Drosophila melanogaster: one gene and its partners. The protein of the gene in region 2 interacts with the protein of the main gene of each other region in a pairwise test. Each region holds a gene or a part of one and is shown on either strand. Other genes may lie near its edges. The genes, in order: yin, CG7236, sug and CG6923.

What was found.
Region 1: the proteins of CG7236 (region 2) and yin interact in a two-hybrid assay, tested with the Drosophila melanogaster proteins (one large-scale study listed by BioGRID).
Region 3: the proteins of CG7236 (region 2) and sug interact in a two-hybrid assay, tested with the Drosophila melanogaster proteins (one large-scale study listed by BioGRID).
Region 4: the proteins of CG7236 (region 2) and CG6923 interact in a two-hybrid assay, tested with the Drosophila melanogaster proteins (one large-scale study listed by BioGRID).

The regions. Positions count from the first base shown.
Region 1 is NC_004354.4:3,868,929-3,873,863, reverse strand, and holds the start of yin (yin), read left to right. Parts: upstream 1-1,924; 5' UTR 1,925-1,993; intron 1,994-3,319; exon of another isoform or gene 3,320-3,546; intron 3,547-3,637; exon of another isoform or gene 3,638-3,911; intron 3,912-4,045; exon of another isoform or gene 4,046-4,049; 5' UTR 4,050-4,099; coding exon 4,100-4,205; exon of another isoform or gene 4,206-4,261; coding exon 4,262-4,347; exon of another isoform or gene 4,348-4,365; intron 4,366-4,684; exon of another isoform or gene 4,685-4,891; intron 4,892-4,935. UniProt on the Drosophila melanogaster protein: Important role in absorption of dietary peptides. High-affinity transporter of alanylalanine. Dipeptide transport activity is proton dependent.
Region 2 is NT_033779.5:5,706,480-5,714,295, reverse strand, and holds CG7236 (uncharacterized protein), read right to left. Parts: upstream 5,906-7,816; 5' UTR 5,848-5,905; coding exon 5,729-5,847; intron 4,347-5,728; exon of another isoform or gene 4,199-4,346; coding exon of another isoform or gene 4,158-4,198; intron 2,394-4,157; exon of another isoform or gene 2,257-2,393; coding exon of another isoform or gene 2,147-2,256; intron 2,059-2,146; coding exon 1,872-2,058; intron 1,815-1,871; coding exon 942-1,814; intron 881-941; coding exon 743-880; 3' UTR 505-742; downstream 1-504.
Region 3 is NT_033778.4:12,927,320-12,931,148, forward strand, and holds sug (sugarbabe), read left to right. Parts: upstream 1-1,540; 5' UTR 1,541-1,612; coding exon 1,613-2,022; intron 2,023-2,464; coding exon 2,465-3,209; 3' UTR 3,210-3,325; downstream 3,326-3,829. UniProt on the Drosophila melanogaster protein: Transcription factor which represses a set of lipase genes involved in fat catabolism.
Region 4 is NT_033777.3:11,744,010-11,751,695, forward strand, and holds CG6923 (uncharacterized protein), read right to left. Parts: upstream 6,021-7,686; 5' UTR 5,689-6,020; intron 5,480-5,688; exon of another isoform or gene 5,233-5,479; intron 5,017-5,232; exon of another isoform or gene 4,951-5,016; 5' UTR 4,881-4,950; coding exon 4,781-4,880; intron 4,726-4,780; coding exon 1,349-4,725; intron 1,285-1,348; coding exon 1,160-1,284; intron 1,099-1,159; coding exon 930-1,098; coding exon of another isoform or gene 903-929; 3' UTR 474-902; downstream 1-473. Other genes in the region: CG43062 (uncharacterized protein), read left to right, coding at 6,366-6,890.

The DNA of each region.
Region 1 (4,935 bases), on a different chromosome or scaffold from region 2:
AATATGCAAATGAAGCCGGCGTCTGACATTGAAATGCAGGCGCACACAGTTGTACAAATTGGAAAATTTGCATCGGTGTAGGCAAGTCGAGTTATTTATTTTTTGAGATTTGAATAGGCAAGTATATAGGCAAGGTTGGTCCGTGCCAATTGACCAAGTTTGGCAGCTCTTTTTTGGGGACCGTCGAAAGTAAATCCACATTTGGACCTGCTCGTTGCTTGTGTTGGAGCCGCTCAAGTGGCTAAAACCCGGGGCCAGTCACTCAAAGTCCCTTATCAGAGCGATTAGATTTGCAAACTGCACACGCGGCCAAGAGAACCGATTATCGTAGTTGCGAACCTGGAGTTCTGAAAATCGTTCGTCCGTTGAGTCATAACTGGCAAGTGGAGATGTATTCCGCCAATTCTTATAACTTGCACGTTACCCAACGGCCACTGATTAAAACTGAAGGGTGAGGAGTATCGAAGTAAATAGGTGCAATAAACTAAATAAGAACACTATTGCAATCTATGGTGAGGTGTATTTTGTGTGGCTTATATAGCATGTCTAGAAATCGAAACAATGAGTAAAACTCGAGCCTCACAAAAATATGGGCCATAAATCTCGGTTCAGTAGTCTGTATAATCGCCACCCCTCTGTAAAAACTATAATTATGCATCTGTGGTTATTTTTAGTAATTAACAATACCATTTTTTTTATCCGTCATGTTGGGAACCCGGAGATCGCTTCACATCCGTTACGCGTCACTTGAAATCGAAGAAAAATATTAAATTTACTTTAAAAATCATTACGTTGTAGGAATGTGCATATGTATAAGATGCATAAACTCAACTTTCTTTTAATTTAACGAAAAATATATGCACATATATGTATATTACGTGTAAATTTTGTTTATTTTTTTCCAATAAGAGACAAAAGAGACAATAAAAGCAAAAAAGTACTGATCCTCGTCTGGAGTTCAATAAGCCCACAAATTGGCTATATTTAAGGGAAATTTCCAATTGCCACTGCGAAATAATTAATTAAACCAACAATATCGCAAATATATCTCATTCAGATTATTAATAGTTTTAATTGATTTTCTGTGTTGCAAATTGATTTTCAAACTGTATAAAAAAAGGAAGCTCTTTCTCTGGTAACTTTATCCTATTTTGCTGCATTGGCCTTTAAAAGGATTTTATTGTTTCGTAAGATCTTTTCATAATATAGACATCAGTGTTTTGATATTGCTTTTATTGTCTCTGGCGAAGCTTTCGGATCGTTATTGCTTTTATTGTTCCATTGCATTCGCGCACTCGTAACTCACATTAAAACATTTAACAACTGCAAAAAAAAAAAAATTGGAACGCACGTCGTTTCGGATGGGATCGGTTTTGAATCGGTTATGAATCGAGCAGGATTGAGCGACCACGTCCGCAAGCGGCGATCAACAGCCTCAGACTGAAGTCGACTGTGAACGAACTTAGCTAAGAAGCCGTTGACGGTTTCGCCGCTCGCCGCTTTGTCGCTTTGCCGCACTGCTCTGCCCGCTGCGACTGCGCGCTTGCTCGACGTCGAAGGATGGCGAAAGGCGTTAGAACGAGCGAGTAGTGGTGATAAGCCTAATCGCAATGTTATCGTATCGACAGGCAAGTGGAAGTATTTACGGCCCGGTGTTCGCTTACCCACAATGAATGGAGCCGCAGCTCGCAGCTCTCGCGATTGTTATTTATGGCCCACAACTACCCACCGGAATATCTGCTTGACATTTCACCCTTCCCCGCCCTTGGCCGCCTGTCAATTTACAGATCGCTGTCCATCACAATTGCTCCGCTTATCACACCTGCCACGCCCCGTCTGTCATCAGTCAGTGGGTGGGTGGTTGCTGTGTTGTGTATAGTGGGCGATGCAGATTGCGCACCATCATTAACTAAATATTTTCATCGCACCAAACGGTTATCTCTGGCCATTACTTGCACGTCTGAGGGATGGGAGCTTCCCAACTTTACCCACCGTAAGTCATGAATCGAAAAGTAGTTTAGTATATGGTCTAAAGATAATTATTTAAAGAGCTACTACGTCTATACGCTGATAAAAAAAAATCAACGCCAAAATAGAAGAGATAATGATGGCCAAGGAAATTTGTAGGGTAAGGAGATCGAGTCAGAATCTTCAATGGCTTGAACTGTGTGTTAATCGGGCAATTAATCATTATTAAATAGCCAAATGTCTTGCTGATATTGGTCGAAAAGTAACTAATCAGCCATTTAATTTTTAAGAAAGTACCCAAACAATTTTTAGAGCAACGCGTCCAGTGTTTAATACTAATGACTTGCATATTAACAAGCTACATGACTTTCTTTTTCAACGCTTTTCCGTGGGCAAACAAAGTTCATACGTATGTACATAACTTAAGACCGAAATGATTGGCAGTATTTTGGCAGCAATACAATAAATTAATTTAAGCTCCTTAAAATGATAGTAATAGGAAAATAAACTATTACAAATCTATTAAGTAGTTTTATGGCCGATAAAGTTATCACATCGGTAATAAGTTTTTGCGAAATAAACAGGCATTTCAAAAGACGTACGTACTTCATATCAGATTAGTCATAAGTATAAGTCATTCAAACGGTGGATAGGTTAATAAATACAACAATTATTTTTAATATTAAAAAGAAAACACCCTAAACTGGGCACGAACTACCAAATTATAGCGAAAAGATCACTTTTAAATGTCGAATTTTTGTCAAAAGTTATAATTCAGATTTCCGCCACCTTAAGAACAGTACTTTAAAAACAACATGGGAAATAGTTGGCCTTATTTGAAATACAATATCTCGTTGAACTCGTAATGAAATTTCTAATCCATAGGCATTCAAGGCCGGAAACTTTCGAAATTTGTAGATTTTCGCTGATCTTCATTATGTAACCCCTTATGAAGAAATGAGAAAATTTGAGGATACTTTACTGCGACGCCTTAAATAGGAAATCCATAATGTAACCTATACCATCTAACCCCGTTTGGCTCACCGCTTTTGATAGGCATCTAATCGGAGGTGGTCACAAAACTTTGTGGCATTTTTGTTTTATGAACTTAATCGCTGCGTCGATAGCTGCGAATAGTATTTATGGCCGCCTATCATTAATGCCATGCCCAGAAACAAGTATAATACATCTATTGGCCATAGCCAATCGGCCGATCTGCGATAGTCCGTAGCACGACATTGTTATTGTTATTGTTATTGTTAACCATTATTGCTCAACGAGAGGCCCTGACTGTGCGACAAGTGAACTTTTTGTTTTGCTTCTTGCTTTCGATTTTACGATTGTCACTTACTTGGCTACAGATTGCATGGTGTCTAGTCTTCATAATGCCAGCTATGCGATCGATTGAGTAACACTTAATTAAAGCCATCAAGGCATTGGGGGTCTGTGTGTCGATTGAGCGGGTTGCGTGTTGACACACTCAGACATCGAGTACTCGTATCCCCGGCCAGCTATTATGCATCCCGTATCCATGGATTGTGATGGCGTTGTATCTGGGCGAGAAACTCTTCGCTCAGCCTGGGGATTACAGTTAAGACCTTATCAATTAGCAAACTGGTGGTCAAGCGGCGATAGGGTATCTTCGATTAAATCGCACCTACCAACCTACCTAATAGGTGGGCCAATCGCACAACTCGGCACGCGGCTTACCGAATCGCACTTTGTGCCGATTAAGTAATCGGCCTGAAAAGGCGAAGCGAAAGCGAGATATAGACGATGTCCTTGCCTAAGATAGCCAGATAGTCAGATAGCCAATCGTACTCGTTTCTTAGGGCAGTGCTTCAAGGGGCTCCGATCTTCAGATATGGGTACTTATAGATCTCAAGATCTCGAAGGTCCGGAGTCCGATATCAATGATGATAGGCGATGAAGTGTTTGCCCAACTGATTAGATTTGTACATGAAAGATATAAAGACGTCATGTCAATTTCAAAATTACAATTATATTAAATATTATATTATAATACTATAAAGATCCCCCATAATTATTTATAATCTAAATAAATAATTTGTTATACTTAGGGTAATTGTCCGTTGCCTTAGCTGTCAGATATCCAGGCTACAGCTCAAGCATGCTTCATAGACAGCGGAATCCCGAATTCTCTAGCACAGCCACATCCATATCCAGCTCGAGCTTCGAATCCAGTCACCTGATGAGCAGCTCTGAATTCAGTCGCGGTAAGTGCATCACCAGTTTTCCAAAGACCACCCACATATATATGGACTTTCTGCAGCTTGGCACTTTGCCCGCTTTCGTGATAGGGATGATCGATTCCAGCACATCCACTTCGCCGAAGATGACCGCAACGGTTTCGAAACGGTGAGTCTGAGTGCTGGACTAAAATATAGTGCGAAATTGACAACCTTTCAGGCACATGTATCTATATATTTCCGGAACTGTGCAATCTTGTGGTATAGCGCGGCGTTTTCGTGAAAAACCTAAGCAATCTCGACGCGAAACAATAGCTAATGCGGACCATAAATATTTACAGCTGGATAGATTTATGGCTGCCTGGGAAAGTCCAACAAATTACTCAAAGCCGTAAAGAAAACAAACATAGATAACAGGCACTTGGCACTCGACCATTTTGCACGGCCGGGGGTTTAATCGCCAGATAGGGGATAGGAATATGATCGAGATAAGATCGATTCCGTACCTGCCAGCTCATTGGCACAGCTTAAAGAAAAGCGAGGGGATAACCACAAGATTCAGCGCAGATAACACAAGATAACGTTAAATCGCAAATAGGATATGGGTTTCTAGAACTATATTCTCTCTTTAAGAACGCCAAACGACAAACAGTTGCCACAACAATGGCTACAAGCTGGAATACTGTGGGTGCACGATAGGGATGCACATTCCACAAGCCTTCTGAAACAACAGGAAACACTGCTCGCACAAATTAGA
Region 2 (7,816 bases):
ACGAAAGCCGATACGTGTCGCTGATTATCTGCCGTGTGCTTAGCACTGGATTAAGCTGCCAAAAAACGTGGTATGGACGCCAGGAGGCGATATCTGTCGACGATGAAATACTTCAGGAGCGGAGCCTCAAAAGAGGGTATCAAGCAGTTCATGTATATATATCAAAGGACTGCAAAACAGACCTTATTGAATCAAATATAAAGTAAACGAACTTATAACATTATATAATTATAAATGTTCTATTAAAAGGGCTCCGCTGTTCCCAATCCGCTCCTGGTTAAATAGATGTAAAAATGTGTAATCCAGACCAGGCTCAACAAGTAGGTGAGAGTTGGAGGTGGAATGTAACCGTTTGACTAGTCGACATGCTGCAAGGATTTTTAATTCGATGTACGTGTGTGTGCAAGGCTGAAAAGGATTCGAGCCAGGACGCAACTGGAAAGTGAATTAAAGATTAACCTGGAGTGATTTGCGAATCTCATGGACTAACGGAATTGAAAATTTATGGAATAAAACATTATGTAGCACATTTTATTTGATGACAGCTGAAAATTGCACTTTAGACTTAGTTACTAATTCAGTTCGGCCCGAAGGGATGAGTTGCCAAGTGTTTACGAACGTTCCACCCAGTGATATATTAATGGATTACTTTTACACATTTATTCCCAGCAGTAAATAAGTTAAATTTCGGGCTCAATTCTCGCTCAAGGACATTACTTCGTTACAAATTCTCTGCTCAAACTCAAATTGTGGGCAGATGATGCTCGGTGCGATGTAGCAGGTTTGCATTCTTGTTCAGGGGCTGCAGCTTCACGTAATCTTGATGCGGGTGATGATGATGCTGCGTGCTAGGCAGCAGCGGTAGTGATGTGTTTGAAGTCTGTAATCGAAAGGATATACTAATAGATTGAATTATCCTCTGAGAGGACTGCCGTACGCACCTTTGATTTATCCCGGGCCGCCGCGATGGCCGCCGCCTGAGCAGGACCCGTCTGGAGCTGCTGGGCCGCCGTGGCCAGCATGAACTGCTGGGAGGCGAGCTGCTGCTGGCGGAGATTGGCCGCCTCCAGGCTGTTGACGTGCTCCAGTTCGCGCTGCTTAGCGATGTAGTCATCGAAGTAGGAGTGCTTTGTGAGCTTCTCGCAGGACCAGCGCTTGGTCGGATCCTTGTCCAGGCACTTCTTGAGAAAGTCAATGGTCAGGGGATTCTGCTGCGACTTGGCCGGCATCTTGTCCTCCAGCGGCTCCAGCGTCGGCGGCACTGGCAGCGTGATGCCCTTAAAGTACTCGTTCTGTCCAAAGATCTGGATGTGGCGCGGCAGCAGGTCGCCGAGCGTCTTGCGGATCAGATAGAGCTGATCCACATCGCTACGTCCTGGCCAGAGGGCCTCGCCCCGGACCAGCTCGGCGAAGAGGCAACCGATGGCCCAGACGTCCACCGGAGTGCCGTACTGAGTGTCGCCCACCAGCAGCTCCGGCGCCCGGTACCATCTGGTGGCCACGTAGTCCGTGTAATTCTCGCCCGGACTGAGCATCCGGGCGAAGCCGAAGTCACACAGCTTCACCTGACCCTGGGCCGTCAGCAGAATGTTCTCCGGCTTGATGTCGCGGTGTAGGCAGCCCTGCTTGTGGCAGTAGGCCACGCCCAGCAGGGTCTGGTAGCAGATCTGTTTGGTCAGGTGCTCCGGGCAGCCCTGTGGATGCCGCTCCAGTTCGTGCAGCACGGTCAGCTCGCAGAACTCGAAGACCAGATGGAGGCGTCGCTTCCGTCGGAACACTTCTAGCAGGGAGACAAGGTTCGGATGCTTCAGGTTCTGCAGGAAATTTCGAGTGATTAAGTGATTCAAGTGATTTAAGTTATTAAGGCTTACCTTCAGTAGCCTAATTTCTCGCAGTGCAATTTTACGAATCGCTGGATCATCCTCGGACTCCACAAACCTCTTGACCGCCACCAGAGCACCCGTTTCCCGATCCCGGCACTTGTAGACCACACCGTAGGAGCCCTCGCCCAGCCGACTGAGCTTCTCATAGCGATCCATTTTGCTGCTACCTTGTGGTCTGCAAGGAAGTTAACAGGTATGAGTTATTCCGGAATTCCCACCCCGATTGCGGCTAACGTTCAGTTTGAGTTTGGAGTGGATTTTACCTTAAGCTCAAACATTGACCACGTTTGATGTTTGCACGTCGCATTGCTTTGCATTGGGCACACAAAATGTTCAAGAATTTTTCTGTTTGATACCTCAGACACGAACACATGTGGACTCACAGGGGCGAACTTGCATTCTAGGATATGCGAGCGAGTATGAAGTGATTTGATATTCGATCTGGTATTATTTCAAGGGCTGTCTTACGATTTGATGTGTATGCATATATGTACAAGTTATTATATTGAATAGGTTTGGTTTTTTTTTGGGGATGTCCAGAACATTTTGGAGGTTTGGTTTCACGAATTCGGTATGATTTGGTTAGTCGATTTCGATGGAATGAAACAAACAACAAATGAGAGAACTTTTAGAATGAGTTATTTGGTTTAAACGTTAATTTTGGTGGGCCAAAGGAACTGTTAAATAAAATGTAATAATAATAAATTAAAATGTGCCGAAGTACATCAATATAAACTTCTTCCTGCTAACTTTTTCCAATCTAAATGCAGCTATTATAGCTAATCAAATAAATCGATATTGTAAACATTCAATTGCCATTAGATACACAACCTAATCATTACTACTCTGCCATTTATAAGCACGAGAACTAAATCGATTTTTTTGACCCAAGTAAACATAACCCTATGTGGAATTGTCATTGATTTGAGTGTATGGACTAATGAATTCTAACATTTTTACACAGTTTAAGTGAAAATAAGATTAAAATAACTTATTCTGTTCATTCAGAATTGTACCATTAGTATTAGATTAGAAACCGAGGGTAATTAACTTTCTAGCGTGAACACGAAAACTAAATCGATTTTGTAGCCCCAGGTGTTCGAGAGCGTGCTCCTTTGAAATTGGCATTACCGGTCTGGTCGAGGACTTCACGGGTTGACAGTTCAATGCCAGCCACAAAACCTTAAACGGGGTAACTGAACCCTGCTTGGGCCTTTCTGCATCTTTTGCTAACATGTGTGTGGGTCATAAACATGGCATGCAATTAAATATTTGTGTGCTTATGATGGTGGTGCTGGTTGGTGGCACAAATAAATGAAAGCAACACAGGACACCGAAAACGTAGCAAGCAGATGACTTACCTAGGCACCCATCTGGCTAATATCTGACGTATTTGCCACTAGAGTTAGTAATTGAATTGTGAATGAATAGGACATATATATATATATATATATGTATTTGATTAAAGTCTTTTGGGGGAAGTCTACGATACACACCATGCGCCGAATATTCCGCCAAGCCTGTCGATCAATAAATATTTGAATGGGTAGACCGCTTGAGCGGACGTATGTTTTGTCTGACAACTGAGCACCGAATGGGGGAAACGCTAGAGCCGACCTGTGCCCCATGTCGACCAGGTCGACTCCACCCCACTGGCCAATGTCATAGCAATGCGACCAAAGTTAACAAAGCAAAAAACCACAACAAAACCAAATCCATGCGCAGTTGCCCCCAAAGTTGTTCAAGAAGTTTCTCCCCTTTGTTGTTTTTTCTAGCGACTACCGGAAGACATTCAAGGTGTGCTTCTTTCCCAGCTTTCCCAGCTCCTTTCCCACTACACATTTTGAGGTTACCTGCTGGAGTCGTCTGTCTAAGGAGAAGGCAGGGGAGTCGCTTATGAACCGGGTTCTTTGACACAGATTGCTGGAGGATTCCATATAGCTAAACTGGTGCAGCAGTGCAATAAGTTTGTCGTAACTACGCGCTACGTGGGCGCTTCGGGGGTGGATTCTATTTGGGGTCCTTATTACTAATTAATGTTTGAATCGCTGTGCAATTATAACAGTATTAGGGATGGCTTTTCCTGGCTGAATAACTTAAGTATTGCTGTGCAGCTAATTTGCTTGCCAGGGGTCACTTATTGTGTTTGCTTTTCGAAGCTGTCCAAACTTTAAAACTTTCACAGTTCACAGGCAAATAAGATAAGTTATGATGTTAATAATAAATGTTAATTTTTTTTTTTAATTTTGTTTATTTTTTTTTTTTTGCTCATACCTTCGTAGGGAAAACAATTTAGAAATCTCAAACATTTTCATTGCAGTATCGAATTTTTTCCAGTTCACCTTTTGTCTATATTTGGTTTGTTTCCGTGTTTCCTTCACTTGGGCCAAACAAAGAGCCCTATAACTTTTTGGCAGAACTACACGATGTGAAGACGTTAAGAGCCGGCAATCGACTGAGGTGCTTTTGGCTAGAAACGAGTTTGGAGAGCGACGGAGTTGGTAGCAGCTCGGTTGCATCAGCGGACATCGCACATACGCCGCGTTGGCCAATGGCGACTTTGATTCCTATGTTTTTGTTTGTTTTGGTCTTGCGTGTTTCATTAATAATGCATTTAAGTGCAGTGGAAAAACACGAAGGTGAGCGTCGAACATAAATTAGGAACCATAATCACGCATACTGTATAAGCAATATGTAAGGTATATGTATATAAAACGAATTCTTTGACCGGTGTGGTGTATTAGGTAACTAATTTCCTTGAAATTTACCTTTAAGAAGTGTATGAAAGTATAGTGACAGCACCCCACTGATTTCTGATTTGCATAATTACTGAGAACTCCCGTCGACCCCGTTCCAACTTAAACACCATCTGCTTGCCTTATACATTTGACAGCTTTTGTTTTCCGCGAAAGCACTTTAACCTTTCCCACTTTGATTTTACCTTTATTCTAGGCTCTTGTGGCTTTTAATTATATTTTTGTATTTATTGTTCTATGTAGTTGTTTGCGCATAGCAATTATTTGTTCATGTCGTTGTCATGATGTTTGCACTCAATGTTGGGGTCAATGCTTCCCAGCTTAATGGCTCTTCGTTTATTTACCATTCTGATACTGACCCCCGGTATTTGTGTGATATAGCAGCGCTAAAGTTTATTTAGTAATGGGTATTATATAAGAATGAGAGGAGAATTAAAGCACTTCTATTTAAGAAAAAGGAACATTTAGCTGGCCTTTAAAATAGATACTTAAAATTGAAATTTACTTATACGAGTTTAGCTTACTGAAGTCAGACTGAATGGTCTTTATTTTTAGAGAAACCACACATTTTTAGATGTTTAATATTCGTACTGCCTTGTGGGTTTATTTCAAGTGTCTGTACTTGCTAAAATAGCAATAATATGTCAAGTAAGTAAAGTTTTTTAGCAAAACCTCTAACATCGCCTTGTAAAGTCCCTGAACCTTTTGGCCATATAAATATTGCGGGTTGTTGGTAAGGGTTGTGTTGACGTGGCCTTTGGGAAAACAAGCGTAAAATGCAATAAATAACAAGCCATTAATGCCAAATGCTCACACACGCACCGAGTGTCCCAAACTTTGTGCGAGGTCTGTGCAAAAAGCGTTGCCTACTTACGGGGATAGCAGAGCTGAAGCGCTTGGAGGACGAAGCAGGCATATGCGTGTGAAATGAAAGGCCAAGGCCGTTGCAACACCACCTCCACCAGCAGCGACTCAAATGTCATTGGGAAAAGTTTATCCTTTCTGCCCGTTTTAGCACTGCATTTCACTTTCATTCCGCAAAAAGTTGGTAAAGCTAATTAGGGCCACGAACGGCGCTAATCGACCCACCTGTACTGCCTGGTCTCAACTAAGTCCGGCTCATTGCACACCTGGATCTTCTGAATGAGGCGGTAGAGGAAGGAGTTCTGTAACGATTGCGGCAAGTAGAACGATGAGCTGTGAAACATTGCACGTCGCCAGGCGTTCGTACGGCTGCAGGGTCTCAGGATAACTAAGTTGCACTTCGACGGTCTCTCGTCTATTTATTTTATCGATACATGATTTCAAATGCAACGGACATCATGAATACTTTATGCATGGAGCGACATTCCTTCTCAAACAGGTGCAAAAAACCGGCTCTGTTTCTGACGTGTCTCGTGCCGGCAATGCTTTTCCATATTGTTTAAGATTTTTTTGGGTCAGAAAAAATGCGGCCGGGGGAAGCCAAAGGAACATGCAAATGAGTCAGGCGCATAATGCGAGAAGTGAGAGTTGCGACGGCAGGCGAATGAGGCAGAGTTTGCCACATGCCACAGCGAGGCACACGAAATCAGTGGTGCAAGCTGGAGGGAAAAAAACGGCTTGCGGGGATTCAATTATGTAAGGTGAGGCGGGCACCTGTGAGTTTTGGCATCCACTGTGGGAATGAGAGCGACTGTCAAATGCCATGAAAGCGCCAAACAAATGTAAGTATCCTGCTGGCAAACCGAAAACGCGATTCTAATTCGCGGCTGTTGAAAAGTCCATTCACCAAAAGTGCTGATATAAGCAAAGCAGTCCCATTATAACATTTTTTGAGCACAATGAACGTTTAGATCTTGGGATCATGGCAATTCAATGTGAATAAACTTGATTAAAGTTTAAAAAACCCTTACTAATTTCACATAAATAAACTTAGGAAATGTATGAAACACATCAAATTGTTATTGCTACCAGAACAGCATGAATTGCGCTCCTTGGGTCCTGGGTCATGATCATGAACTTGTCTTGTATTATATAACTATCCATCTCCTGAAACAACTTATCAATAATTACCAAAGAAAAGTATGTGACTTGTAAAAACCTTCTCATGAACAAGTGTGCGAGTACAAGTGTTATGTATCAATCATTTGCTTACAGTCTGATGGGCAATATCTTATTCTATTTCAGTCAGATATGTATTCCAGCAAAAAAACATTTCCCTCTGTTCCTTTCGAGCAAAACGCAAGTGTCGTTGACATTTGCCGAAAATAGGGTTTTCGTCTGCTTGGATCAAAAGCATTAAAAACCGCTACATCATCCGTTCCCATAAGTATGCAATATTCCTTCAGAGCTGCTTGTCTGGCCTGTCAGAATTCGGATGGTAAGTGGGTTGATGTTGGAGACAAATCCAAGCTCCGAACGCATTTCAATGCAATTTGATGTCTCTGTACTTGATTTCATCTCTTTTCGCTTTTGTTCTTCTGCATCTTTTTTTCCGTGCACATATACTCGCATTGATTGAAATTCAATTTGATTGGAGTTTTTGTCCTTTTTGGTCCTGTGGCTTCTTGGTTAGATCTTGTGTAAGTTGAGTAGCTTTTAACTGTCAGTTTCAAAGGCGTTCAAAGAAGGTATCTAAATGTTAGTTAGAGACACACAATGTTTTCATACGATGATTACTATTTACTGTAGGGTTGGTTATTCACAAGGCCCGACGTTAAGCAAAACAATATCAGGGGCAACACTCTATCTGCGCGCCAATCTTGAAGTTCAAGTTTAGGCCAAAACAATGAAAAAATGTTTGGATAGCACTTTTTGTTACCATTCAATGCAATGCAATGCCAAGTTCGACTTACCTTCTGGGCAAAAGTGGAAGGTGGTTACCAAACAGCCAGAGACGTTTCTCTCCGAACCATTTGTCCATAGACAAGCATTTAATAACTGTTTGGAAAATTGATTTTAAAATGCCGTACTATTTCTGGAATCTCGAAAGTGATTTCCGCATCCTGCGAGCATTTAACTAAATGGATTTTCACGCGCGAGATGCGAGGCGAGTTTCGCGTCCGTTGGCGAAGAAATATTAACAAACTTTGTTTATAAGCGTAGTCCACGCCGTAAACGTAGCCGGAATTTTTATGTGCGCCGGCATTGAAAACGCCGAAGACAATGGAATGGAGTTTCCAGGGGGTGGGCTTG
Region 3 (3,829 bases), on a different chromosome or scaffold from region 2:
GGGACCAGACAGCGCCTCCGCCGCGCTGATAACGACGATAGCTTTATGGCTGGCTGATAGCTGATTGCCATAGCCACCACCCAGCAGAGCGCAACTCCGCGTCCCGCCGAACCATTCGCGTCATGGCGCACCAAGTTTTCGGGCCAAAAGATATGGTACCATGGCGGCATGTGGCGGCGTTTGTTGACTTGGCGTGAGATAACCAACCACCACCACCTTATCGCCGTCCCAGACGCAGCGCCCACACACTGAGGTGAAACCGGCGGGCGAACCCAAGAATGAATTTCTGGGTTTTGGGATCGTACGCTTGCATATCAAACACATGTGGGGGAAGTTTAGTATTTCTGATAAAGTGATAAAATTATAAATGAGAATGTGTGTGGGGTTTCACAAAGCTCAAGCTAGAAAATATCACTTTTGTTTTCAGTGTACTCAAATCAAATTTAATAAAATTAGCGTGATTTCCTTATGCAACACATCAGTTGGGGTTTTATATCCATTATAAAGTTCGGAATTCAAGGAAGCTTCTAAGCTTTAACTTTATAAACAGCTATTAAGCTTAAAGTCTAATTTTAACTTTGTAATAATAAAACATATTGAGAAATTGAGAAATATATTACAGAATTGAAATTAAGTGGCTTCCACGAAAGTTTTTATCCATTTCCCTTCAGAGTATAGGAATCACATAACGATTCAAATTGTCTGCTTAAACTTTTGATTCTTTGTCTCAAAACTATAACTATTTACTTTTTAGTCACAAGCTCGAATATATAGTTAGGTCAGGAAAACAATTAATTGTTTTATTAATAAATCTATTTATGGAAATTATGCAAGGCGATCTTATAGTGGCCTCTTTGTAGATTCTAGAACTAGCCATTCTCAGGCAAAAGATCTAGATGCGTCTTCAGACGTATTAGTCCATTCGCTTTTCTCTGAGTGCACTAGTACGGCTCCAAGAGTTGACGTACCTGTTCCAATGAAGGGGTGCGATTCGGATCGGGAGTGGGACTCGGATCGGTACGCAGGGTGGGGTGCGGCAGGGAATTCGCTACGCGGTACGAAGTGCAAGTCAGGCAGGCAGGCAGGCAGACGGCACCGGGCGATAAGACTTGCCCCCCAAAGAGCGATCATCGGGCACACACATGTGCCTGTGTACATATGTGGACTGGCTGGCTGGCTGACTAGCTGGCTCTCCACTTGTGCGTTGATAAGCGGGCCCAGACCGTACCCTGGTCGCCCCCCAGTCACCCATCTGCGTCGCAGTCCATCCAGCACAGAGTTTCACTCACGTAGTGTGTGCTTTTGCCCCAGATCCATTTGCCCCAGCGGATTTTTTTCCACCGCTCCACCGCTACGCACCTGCTCCTCGGCGCTCCACTGTTTTGGTTCCGTCTGCCGCCGTCTGCTCCCCCTGCCCCTGCCACGCCCCCGCCGGACCCGTCTGCAGCCTTCGAAACTGATAAGCATACCCTGTCCGTCTGGGCGACCCCTTATCGCCGTCCAAGTTTCGCATATTACCCGAACCTCTGCAGGCGAGCGGCTCATTCGATCGGCAGGCGCTTTAGCGAAAGCAACAAATTTTCTCGATCAGCACCCACCACAGACAACAAACATGGATATAATACAAAAGTCAATCTTCAACAGCGGCCCACACAGCAGAGGCATCTACGAGCCGCCTCTCGGCTACTTTACGCCGTATAACACACCACCGTACATAGCCGCCTACTCGGATTCCGGCAGCTGGTTGGCGGATCACCACCAACACCACCAGCAGCAGCACCAGCAGCACCAGCAGCAGATGCAGCACATCAGGTTTCCCACGCCGCCCATCACACCGCCGCGTCCCATCGCCGGATACGGATATCGTCAGCGCACCCAGTCCGTGATCATGAAGGCTCGTGGCCAGCAGGACGAGCTCTGCCGCAGTCCAGTGGAGTTCCCCGACGACAGCAAGTCCTGCAGCAGCAGCAGCGAGTGCGGCACCGCCAGCGATTTCGTATGCAACTGGACAGATTGCGATAGGTAAGTGTCAACTGCATTACAGAATTATTGTGAAAATTTCAAAGAAATTTCCTAAAGGGGTCTCAGCACTTTCGTAATGTTTTTTAAAAACGAAAAAAAAACTCAGCATTATATTTTCTTTTGAATTTTGAGTTGCCAGAGAAAGACATTGAGTAGTTCTAGAAAAATATAAAACACAGTTCCCCCGCGTTTTACCATTGAAACTGATTACGCATTCGAAAGAAATAAAAAAAAAACCCCGGAGGCAGCCTGGCATTTGCTGAACTGTTGGACTCGACTTTTTGATAAACCCTCCAATAGCGATAATAATGTGATTTTGGGTCAAATTGATAGAGATGCAGTGTATTGTTTATGGTCAGCAAGTGTATTAATATTGGATAAGAAATCAATCCAGTACATGTTATTTTCGTACTAACCACTTATATCCCTTTGATCCTTGCAGAGTTTTCGACACCTTGGATGCACTGGCACAGCACGTGACCCAGCGACATGCGATCGCCAGCCTGACAGACGGACTCTACTATTGCCGCTGGCGGGGATGTCAGCGCAGCGAGCGAGGATTCAATGCCCGCTACAAGATGCTTGTCCATACCCGCACCCACACGAAGGAGAAGCCACATCGCTGTCACCTGTGCGAGAAGTCCTTCTCGCGGGCGGAGAACCTGAAGATCCACATTAGGTCACACTCGGGCGAGAAACCCTACAAGTGCAGCTTCGAGGGCTGCCAGAAGGCGTACTCGAACTCCTCGGATCGTTTCAAGCACACGCGCACCCATTCGATGGAGAAGCCGTACATGTGCAAAGTGGCCGGCTGCCAGAAGCGCTACACGGATCCGTCCTCGCTGCGAAAGCACGTCAAGACCTTCAAGCACAGCATCCACCTGATCGCCAGCCAGCCGCTCACTCTGCCCAGCGTACCCTGTCTCCTGGAGGCCAGCAGCGAATCAGCGTTCACGTGTCTTCCCGCTGCCAGCAGTGTGGAGTCCACCAGCTCCTCCTCATCCGCCCGCTACTACGATGACTCCAACAATGAGCCCAGCGATTACTCGCTAAAACCCAAACAGGATGCGGAATTCTCGCCCAGCTATTGGCTAGGCGATAGACAGCATAGCTATCTCCACAGCGAGGACTTCTTCGTTAAGATGGACGTGGAGTCACCGCTCGACCTGCGCATCCATCGAATCTGAACTGGCCAATCGGTTCGCCTCTCGTCTCTCTTCCCCTTCTAGTCATTGCGCTGTTTCCCAGCTCTTGTCACCACACCTAGATTACTATTTAACGTGATTAAAGACTGTTGTAATTGAACTGCTCTAGTTTGGCATGGTGGCATGGGAGTATCTTCGGGATTGATCTGATCTAGGTTCCTTCATAGTGGTTCTGGGCAAAAAGAGTATTTCAAAGATTTCGAAAAACCATAAGCTCAAGGTATGGGAAAATCCCCAGTTACAGGCGATTCGTCACAAAACTAGTGACCAATCTTAATCGACTTCGATTAGAATTTATGATCCAGACAACCTTTGTTTGGAGGAAAATCCCCATTTCGAATGGCTGGGCTAATAGAGCGCTAGATATTGGAAAATATTTATTGTTTAAATGCGCATCTAGACGAGTTTTTCACACAACTGTTAATAACAGATTTAATGTTTTTTTTTGCGGTTTATAGGAATGTTAGTTGATCTAGATAACCTCTCGTTTTTATACAAACAACAAGAACAAACAAAATAAATAGCAAAAGTATTTCACATTTGAAATAGATGAATACACTTTAAAAGCGATATCAGGTTTTACACTATATATAGGCATATAT
Region 4 (7,686 bases), on a different chromosome or scaffold from region 2:
ATAAAATATGTAAACCCCAAACAGAAATAAAGGTGTATCGTATTTTTATCGGTGGAATAAAAATCAACAGACGTTTATTGGATTATTTATTGATTTCTGCCGTCTTAGACAGCCAATTTTTAAAAGTTTTAGGAAACTTTCTATAATATAAAACCAACCTTTTTAAAATATGTTAGCTCAAGATTTAAAAAATTGCATCGAATCAATTCACTTATATATGGCACGTTATGAGATATTGAGCAATAATCCGTAATCTATTAAATTAAATAGATGTACTATATATAATTTGGTAATAGCAAAGACACTAGAATAGAATAGAATTATTCTAGGGTCTTTGGTAATAGAATAAAAGATTATTCTCTACATTTTTGTGACTAATCAAAACATAACAAAATTTGTTAAATAATGAGAGGAAATCGTCCAGATTTTAAGTCCTTCAAATAATTACTCAAGAAAAATGCAAATTGCCAAATCGATTTCTAATCGGTTAAGTTTAGGGTCCGATGTTATATTATTTTGTGTGATCATTAAAAATATAACAACAAGCTGGGGTCAAAGTTATCATATACGCCCGTCGTGGGAATTCTATACTATAACAATATACGCATATTTATGAAATTCTTATCACAAGAATTTTGTTTCACAAAACGTAGACAATTTGTACATATGTATAGGAAATTATTTGCCGAATCACTTAATATACTTAGACATAGAAATTGAGCCAAACAAATTTAGCTTTTTGATATCTTTCAGCGCAACACGGCAGCAAGCTGTGGCAACTGCCTTTTACATACGTTGCGGTGGGTTAAACATTTTAAGGTATGTATATAGGGGTTTTTACGAATATTTCATTCTTTGTTCTTGTATCGATGCATGCCGAGAACAAACTCAGTCTGAGGGATTTACATAAAGATGCCGTGCACACAATGTCATAATGCGGCGGAATTGGCGGCATCTGGGACTCCGCTGGAGCTGGGGGGAAGAGCGTCGTTGGGCATGTGTGTTTCGATGTCGACGCGACAAATGGGGCAGTGCTTGTTGGTGACTAGCCACTGATCCACGCAATCCGTGTGAAATAGATGCATGCACGGCAGGCGGCTGCAATTGTTATTTAATATAATTAGAGAACTTTATAAGGTAACGTCCACATTGAACTTACCGAACTTCGTTCTCTATCTCAAAGAGGTTTAAGCAAATGGCGCACTTCTCGGCATCCTCATCGGTCTCACTGGGTCTTCGGACGCGTCGATATTTGTGAGGCAAGGTATTCCGCTCAATAGTTTCCTGAAATAAACGTAAAAACTAATTAATATAAATAGGTATGACTTTGATTTCTATACGGCCTTACCAAAGTAGCTCCCCGGTTTGGACGTGATGGTGCGATAAGGATACGGGAGCCCAGAGATAGGGGGGCCAGCCCAATCTCCAGATGCAGTGGTGAGTAGTGGTGATGGAACATGTGGTGGTGTATGGCCCGCTGGCGCTGCATATGCTGCATTACTGGTGGCGATTGCTGAGCCTGCGGCTGCTGTTGGGGCTGAAGCTGCAGATGTCGCATACTCGCTTGTGCTGCCACGCTACTATTGCCAGAACCGGATGTAGCAGGCGACTGTTGTTGAGGAGATGGTGGAGGAGCAGCAGCTGCCGGTGCAGCGTCGTACGGCGGATAGTAAGCGGGATCCAGGCTTGATACGGGACCGTTCCGAGCATGAACACAACTGCAGATGCTATGCAGGTACCCGTTTCGCAGCGTGCTCGTTAATAGCGGAGCATTCGAAGAAAGATCGATAGGTGTGGGCGTCATGTGGCGACGGTGCATCTCCTGCATGCTTTGCTGGCGGTACCACAGATTTTGATGGACCGGATACGGTGGAGCCGGCGTCAGCGAGGTGGCCACTATGGCGCTGGCCCGGTGAGGGGGATGAATGTGGGCGTGCATCTGGTTCTGCGGTGCCTGGTGACCTTGATGCGGCTGCGGCTGATAGTGCTGTCTATTGCTATACGCAGCTTCGGAGCGTCGAACACTGAACGGCGGAGATCCGCAGTGCGGAATGGTGCTCCGTCCGGAATACATTTCAAGCGGCGGTGGTGGAGAAACAGCTGCCGCCAGGTTTGCATTTGATGCCACTCCTGGCGCTGGCGGATTAATGGATTGCCGCTGCTGGTGTTGCGCATGCACCATTGTATGTGGAGGTGTCCGGTTGCCTTCCAGGGCCGCAGCACGTCCCTCATTATGGGCCTGTGATAGCAAATCACTAAAAGTTTGTGCCTGTACCGCCGCCGCTGTGGCTGCCACTGCAGCCGCATTCAAAGCTCCACTCAAAGAACTGCGACTGCTTCCGCCTTGACTGGGCTGAAAATGAGGATGAGGGTGAGGGTGAGGCTGGAGACTCGGCGGGTAGTCCGACTCCACCACAGTTGGCAGCGTTGTTATCGCATAATAGTACGGATGGTAACGATGATACACGTTCGCCGGGCTACTTCGCCTGTGGCGGGATTGCTGCGTTGATGTCTGCTCGCTGGACGAGCTGCTTGGAGTGGATGTAAGATTTCTTTGCTGATGACGTAAGTATGCCTCAGTGGAAGAGTTGTCAGGCAGCAAAATTGGGGGCATCGGGGGCGGAGGTGGCGGGGGAGCGGGATGGCCTGGCATCCACATCGAGGATTCGTTTATCGGAAGGAAGTAGCGCTGTGGATCCATGTTGGAGCAGCGGGGCGGGTAAAAATTACCGGGGCCGGGATCCATCAGCTGGTCTAGCTCGTAGCTGTAATTGTGGTCCGAAATGGCAGCCCGATCAGCTAGAGCGCCACTATAAAATGCGAATGCAGAGGTGCCCTCATTATTCGCTTCTGTACGACGATCTGTCCTGCGAGCATAGGGGAATGTGTAAGCACAGTCATACATGGTCCTCCTATCCTCATTTGGATCCTCCGGGTTGGGTTGAGTGTCATTACGATATGGTTCCCGATCCCTTGCTCGCTCCCGTTCTCTTTCACGGCCCCTATCCCTATCCCTCTGCAGTTGCGTATCATTGGCCAAGCCATCGTCGTCGGATGTCAAATCGATTGAGAGTATGGGCTCACGAGTGGAGTGCACAAATACTACGTCATCATCATCATCGTCCGATGACCAATCATCCAGCTGCAAGTCTGGTGCCGTCAAGACTACGGAATCGGCGCGGGTCTCATGGCTGCCACGTCTTCCCGTGGATGTGGACGGAAGATTGAGATCCGCGGCGGGCTGACTATCTCTTGGCCGGCCGACGTACGTAATCACACAGGGCCCGTTCGAATTCGGCGTCGAGGATGGTGGAAACCGCACATGATGTTGCCCAGAACTGTTCCCTTGCTCCGCAAAGGTTCGGTGTCCTCTCCTTCCAGGATAGAACGAATTAAAATTCGTTGAGGACAGTTTGGAACGCGATCTTCCGGGCAGTTCCATGCGCGCATGTTTCCTAGGCGGCACTGAGTCGTCAGAGGGCCGCGCACGACTCCATGACATTCTAGACTCGCCGGGAACACCGTACATACTGTGCATGGGTTGGCCTGGTGACTGCTGATGACGCCGTTCTTCGTGAATAATCTCCTCCTGTTGTTGGCGCTGTTGCTGCTCCTGTTCTTGATCCGAGCTTGTGGACGGTGATCCTGTTGCAGCCGACCTTCGACCAATGCGAGATCCATAATCCACGCTACGTGTAGTATGGGTGGCCGTGGAGCAGGAGGCTGACCTAATGTAGGTACTATCCGGTGGAGCTCCCGCCACAGCGCACCGACTATTATAGTAGTTGTGATCCGTATGACCTATCTCGGCCTCGTCGGACCCCCTGCTACCACGGATAATCGTTACTGTGGGCTCAATTGGTGGAACGGGATTATGCACACGCAAATCCCAGCCATCATCGCTGCTCTCGTTTTCCGGCTCCAAAACCCTTGATTTGCGATAAGAAAATTGACTCATCTGTCGCTTTCTCGATTGGGCACTCGTGCTTGGCGTGGCATCCGTATCTACTGCTCTGGAAGAGGTGTTGGAGGCATTATTGGAGCGGCTGGCCTTCTTCTTGTGAGCCTGAACGGCAGACGTAGTCGTCGTGGTGTTGGTGGTACGCGTATGAGCAAACTGGCCGTGCTCCGTGTCCGAGGCACTCGATGTCACATCATCGTAAGCATTTACGGCACTTGGGGCGGTTTCGAAGGAGCTGTTGCTGAGCTGCAGCGAACTAGAGGGGACCTCGTAAACGACCGCCGTAGAGTCCATAGCATGCTCTTCTATAGCACCGGCAGGCCATGTGCCGCTGACGGACGCAACCACCGCGTCGCCGTCATTGTCACTCTCTGGCTCCATTGTCAGGGGTTCAGTCTTCTTTCGCTTGGGTCGTGGAATGGAATGAACAGCGGGCGGATTGGCGATCGCCGCTGTGGAGGATGAGGGCTGCTCCAAGAACTGAGCCTCCGAATGCGACTGGTTCTGTGTGGAGTCCGCATAGCGACTGCTACTGGCCACCATCGATTCGCAGCGGCAGAGTCCGTCCAGCGAACTGCACTTGTCACACCGCCTGGCCAAGCCCTCAAATCCAGAACTCTCTTCGCGACGTGGCTCCACCATGGCGGTGTACGTGGGCGGCGAACGGGTGTGGCTGTGGCTCTGCGAACTGGACAGGAAGGGCGTCATTAGCATGTAGCCCTCCGAATCCCTCTGCTGATTATAGTACATCGCATACTGGGAATCTGCAAAAGCACAAGAGGATTAGCACTATCTGGTTCCAGATGATGGCCAGCTTACGGTTTTCCTGTCCACCCGAACTGGTGGCCACACTGCCGTACGCCAAGGTGACCCTCGGCTGGTGGTGCAGCTCCTCCTGGTCGTTCTCCAAGCTATCCATTTCAGTCGTCTAGTGGGCAACGTTACCAGAACGGCAAAGGTGCGTTGCAGCGCATGCAGGCCAAAATGCGCTAAAATTGTGTATATGTACGAAAAAATGTTTAATTTACGGGTATGAGGAGGTACAACTGTCTAACAGAGACCAGTTTGCTTTTTTTGTCCGGAAACAGAAACAAAAACAAGCAGTGGGTTAAGTATTTGGGTTCCAAAGCTATTGCCAGCTATGTACTCTAGGTACTCCAAATGGAAATTCGGGGCTATTATTTGCACAGTTCTCGAGCGAGTAAAAACGATTTAAAGCTCAAAATAAAGTTTGAAGACGGAAATTTTTTCTTTGCTTGTCAAATACACACTCTTTTGTCAGCACCACTTTTCCGTCAAGTTTTTCATCGCCGTTAGCAGGAAATTCCAAAGCTACGTGGGGAAAACACAAGCGCCGCAGTGAAAAGTGAAAACTTTTTATCGGATTCCATGCACTGGGATGATGGGGGTTTCCACGGAAGCTCTAAATAACTTATGACAACTTATTACTAATTAAGTTCAGCAGTTCTTTATTTTAGCCAACGCAATAGGGATGAGCGTTGTATCGATATGTCAGCATATCGATATGTCTAAGCTGATATTAAGCTGATGCGTTTATTTTGTATTAACTTAAATTAAAATTTACGAATAACATTCAGCTTTAAGTATATTGAATGTTTCGATACTATTGACTTCAATTTGGGGAAAACGCCAAATCAGCTGTTCGGCTGTGGGCAAACTATGAACAGCTGTTCAATGATAACAAATGTCCCCAAAATAATTCTTACCTCTATTATATGTGTAACACAGAAATATTGCGATTTTGGTAATTTTCTTAATTCCTAAAGCCGGGATTACGCGAATAACCGGGTGGGGATTTCCGATTGGGCAAAACAAAGAGAGTGGGTGGTGGGGGTTGGCAGGCCAACAGCTGCTATTGGGGAACACAAGGGAGTTTAAATGCAATTCTTTTCGCGGGGGCGGGGGACTATTCTCATTCGCAGCTGCTGTCCGGAACAAATTTACATTATGCACATGCAAATTTGCGATATATATGTTCTCACGATTTAATCATTTTGTATGTGTTACTGGATTTTATAGCAGTAACAACACCGAACTGAAATATTTAGACAACTTTTTCTTCGACGGTGCAAAAACTTGCAGTTCGGCGATGATGGCGATACTATCGCATAGAAGCTAGCTAGCTCTTTCGTAGACTAAAGTTGCGCAGTATGGCCACACTGATAATTCAAATATTTTGGCACTAAATATACCGTTAGAAACTATACTACCACTACTTACCACTGTTTAGGGAAGCTTAATATATACATACAAAGAAACTCTTAGTTGGAAAGTTGCGAATCATAATTATCTGGTTTTTAATGTTAATCTTAATTAAACTGTATTACATTTTCTAGTTTTGCTATCACAAACATAGTTTCCTTCATTTTCTTTTCATGTAAACATGGGAATAAGCCCACAATGCTGGCCAATCAAGAATAAGACATTCGTGTTTTTGTGCCGGGGCATACACGAAAGAAGGTCAAAGAAAAAGACACTTTCAACGTATTATACTCTTCCCCATTACCACAATCAGGACGAAAACCACAAGTACGCCTTTTTCCATGTGGAAAACGATTCTCGAGTTTTCTTCATTACAATTGGGAGAAGCCGGCTAAACAATCTCGATTGGTTTCTAGTGGATAAATGGGGCAAATTCATTCGAAATGGGACATCAGTCTACGATTACCACACGGGCTTCGAGTGCGTGTACAAAAGGATCCATTTCTTGGAGAGACTGCTTAAAGAATGCTTGGCTAAGCAAAATTCCACGCAAAGGAACAGCACGAATCCCGAGTTGATGGTTCTACACTTCCCGGAAACGAAGGCACCAACCTACCACATGGTATCCATTGGAGACAATACGCGGTGCTTGAACTGGGTTATCTGCCTGCTGGGACTGGTTATACTTCTCTGCTGCCTGAAATAAATCCATATGCACAGCACAAGCCTTAACATATCATGTATTTAGTGTTTTTATTGAGTTTTTATATGTATAAAACAATATCTACTCTTTCTTTTATTGCTGGCTTCGTATTCTTTTCTCTTGGCTTTCGTTTCCAATTCTGTTTAGCCATAATTTTAAAACCAATTCGCTTCATACAAATATTCCTTGATTAAATCGGTCAGCTAATCAATTATCTGCAGGATTTCCCCATATTCTCGTTGGTGTTCATTTCTCGAAAGCTGCGCTGACCAGTGTAACGACTTAAGTTTAACCATTGGCTTAACGGACATTTTCTAAACCAAGGTGCTGTTTGTTTGAGTGTAGTTTTATCGGATTTTAAGCAGCGCTGCTTGTAAATTCAACTCATAGTTATTATTTGTTTTTTTTTTGTTTCGTTGCGAAACACTCCTCACAGTTTTACAAACAAACGAAAGCGATAGTTTCCACTTCAATACTTCAGTTTCAGTGCAACTTTGATTGCTTCTGTAGGAATTCATTGCATGAATAGTATAAATTATTTGGACGCTGTTATTATTATTAGCAAATGTTCAAAACTTTAACCAAACCCAAAACGAGGCCGTTGGCAACTTTTTTTGGCAGCAGCGTTTTGAGCTAAAATTATGAACAATCATTTATGATTTCATATGTCTGCATTTAACTTTATTTTTTGTGGTCAGTTTAATTTTTCGTTTATTTTGTTTTTGTTTTTTGGAAGTTTTTCGCACAAGTTGCTGTTGGTTGGAAAAATAGAAGAATTGGTGTGTATGCAGCATGCACT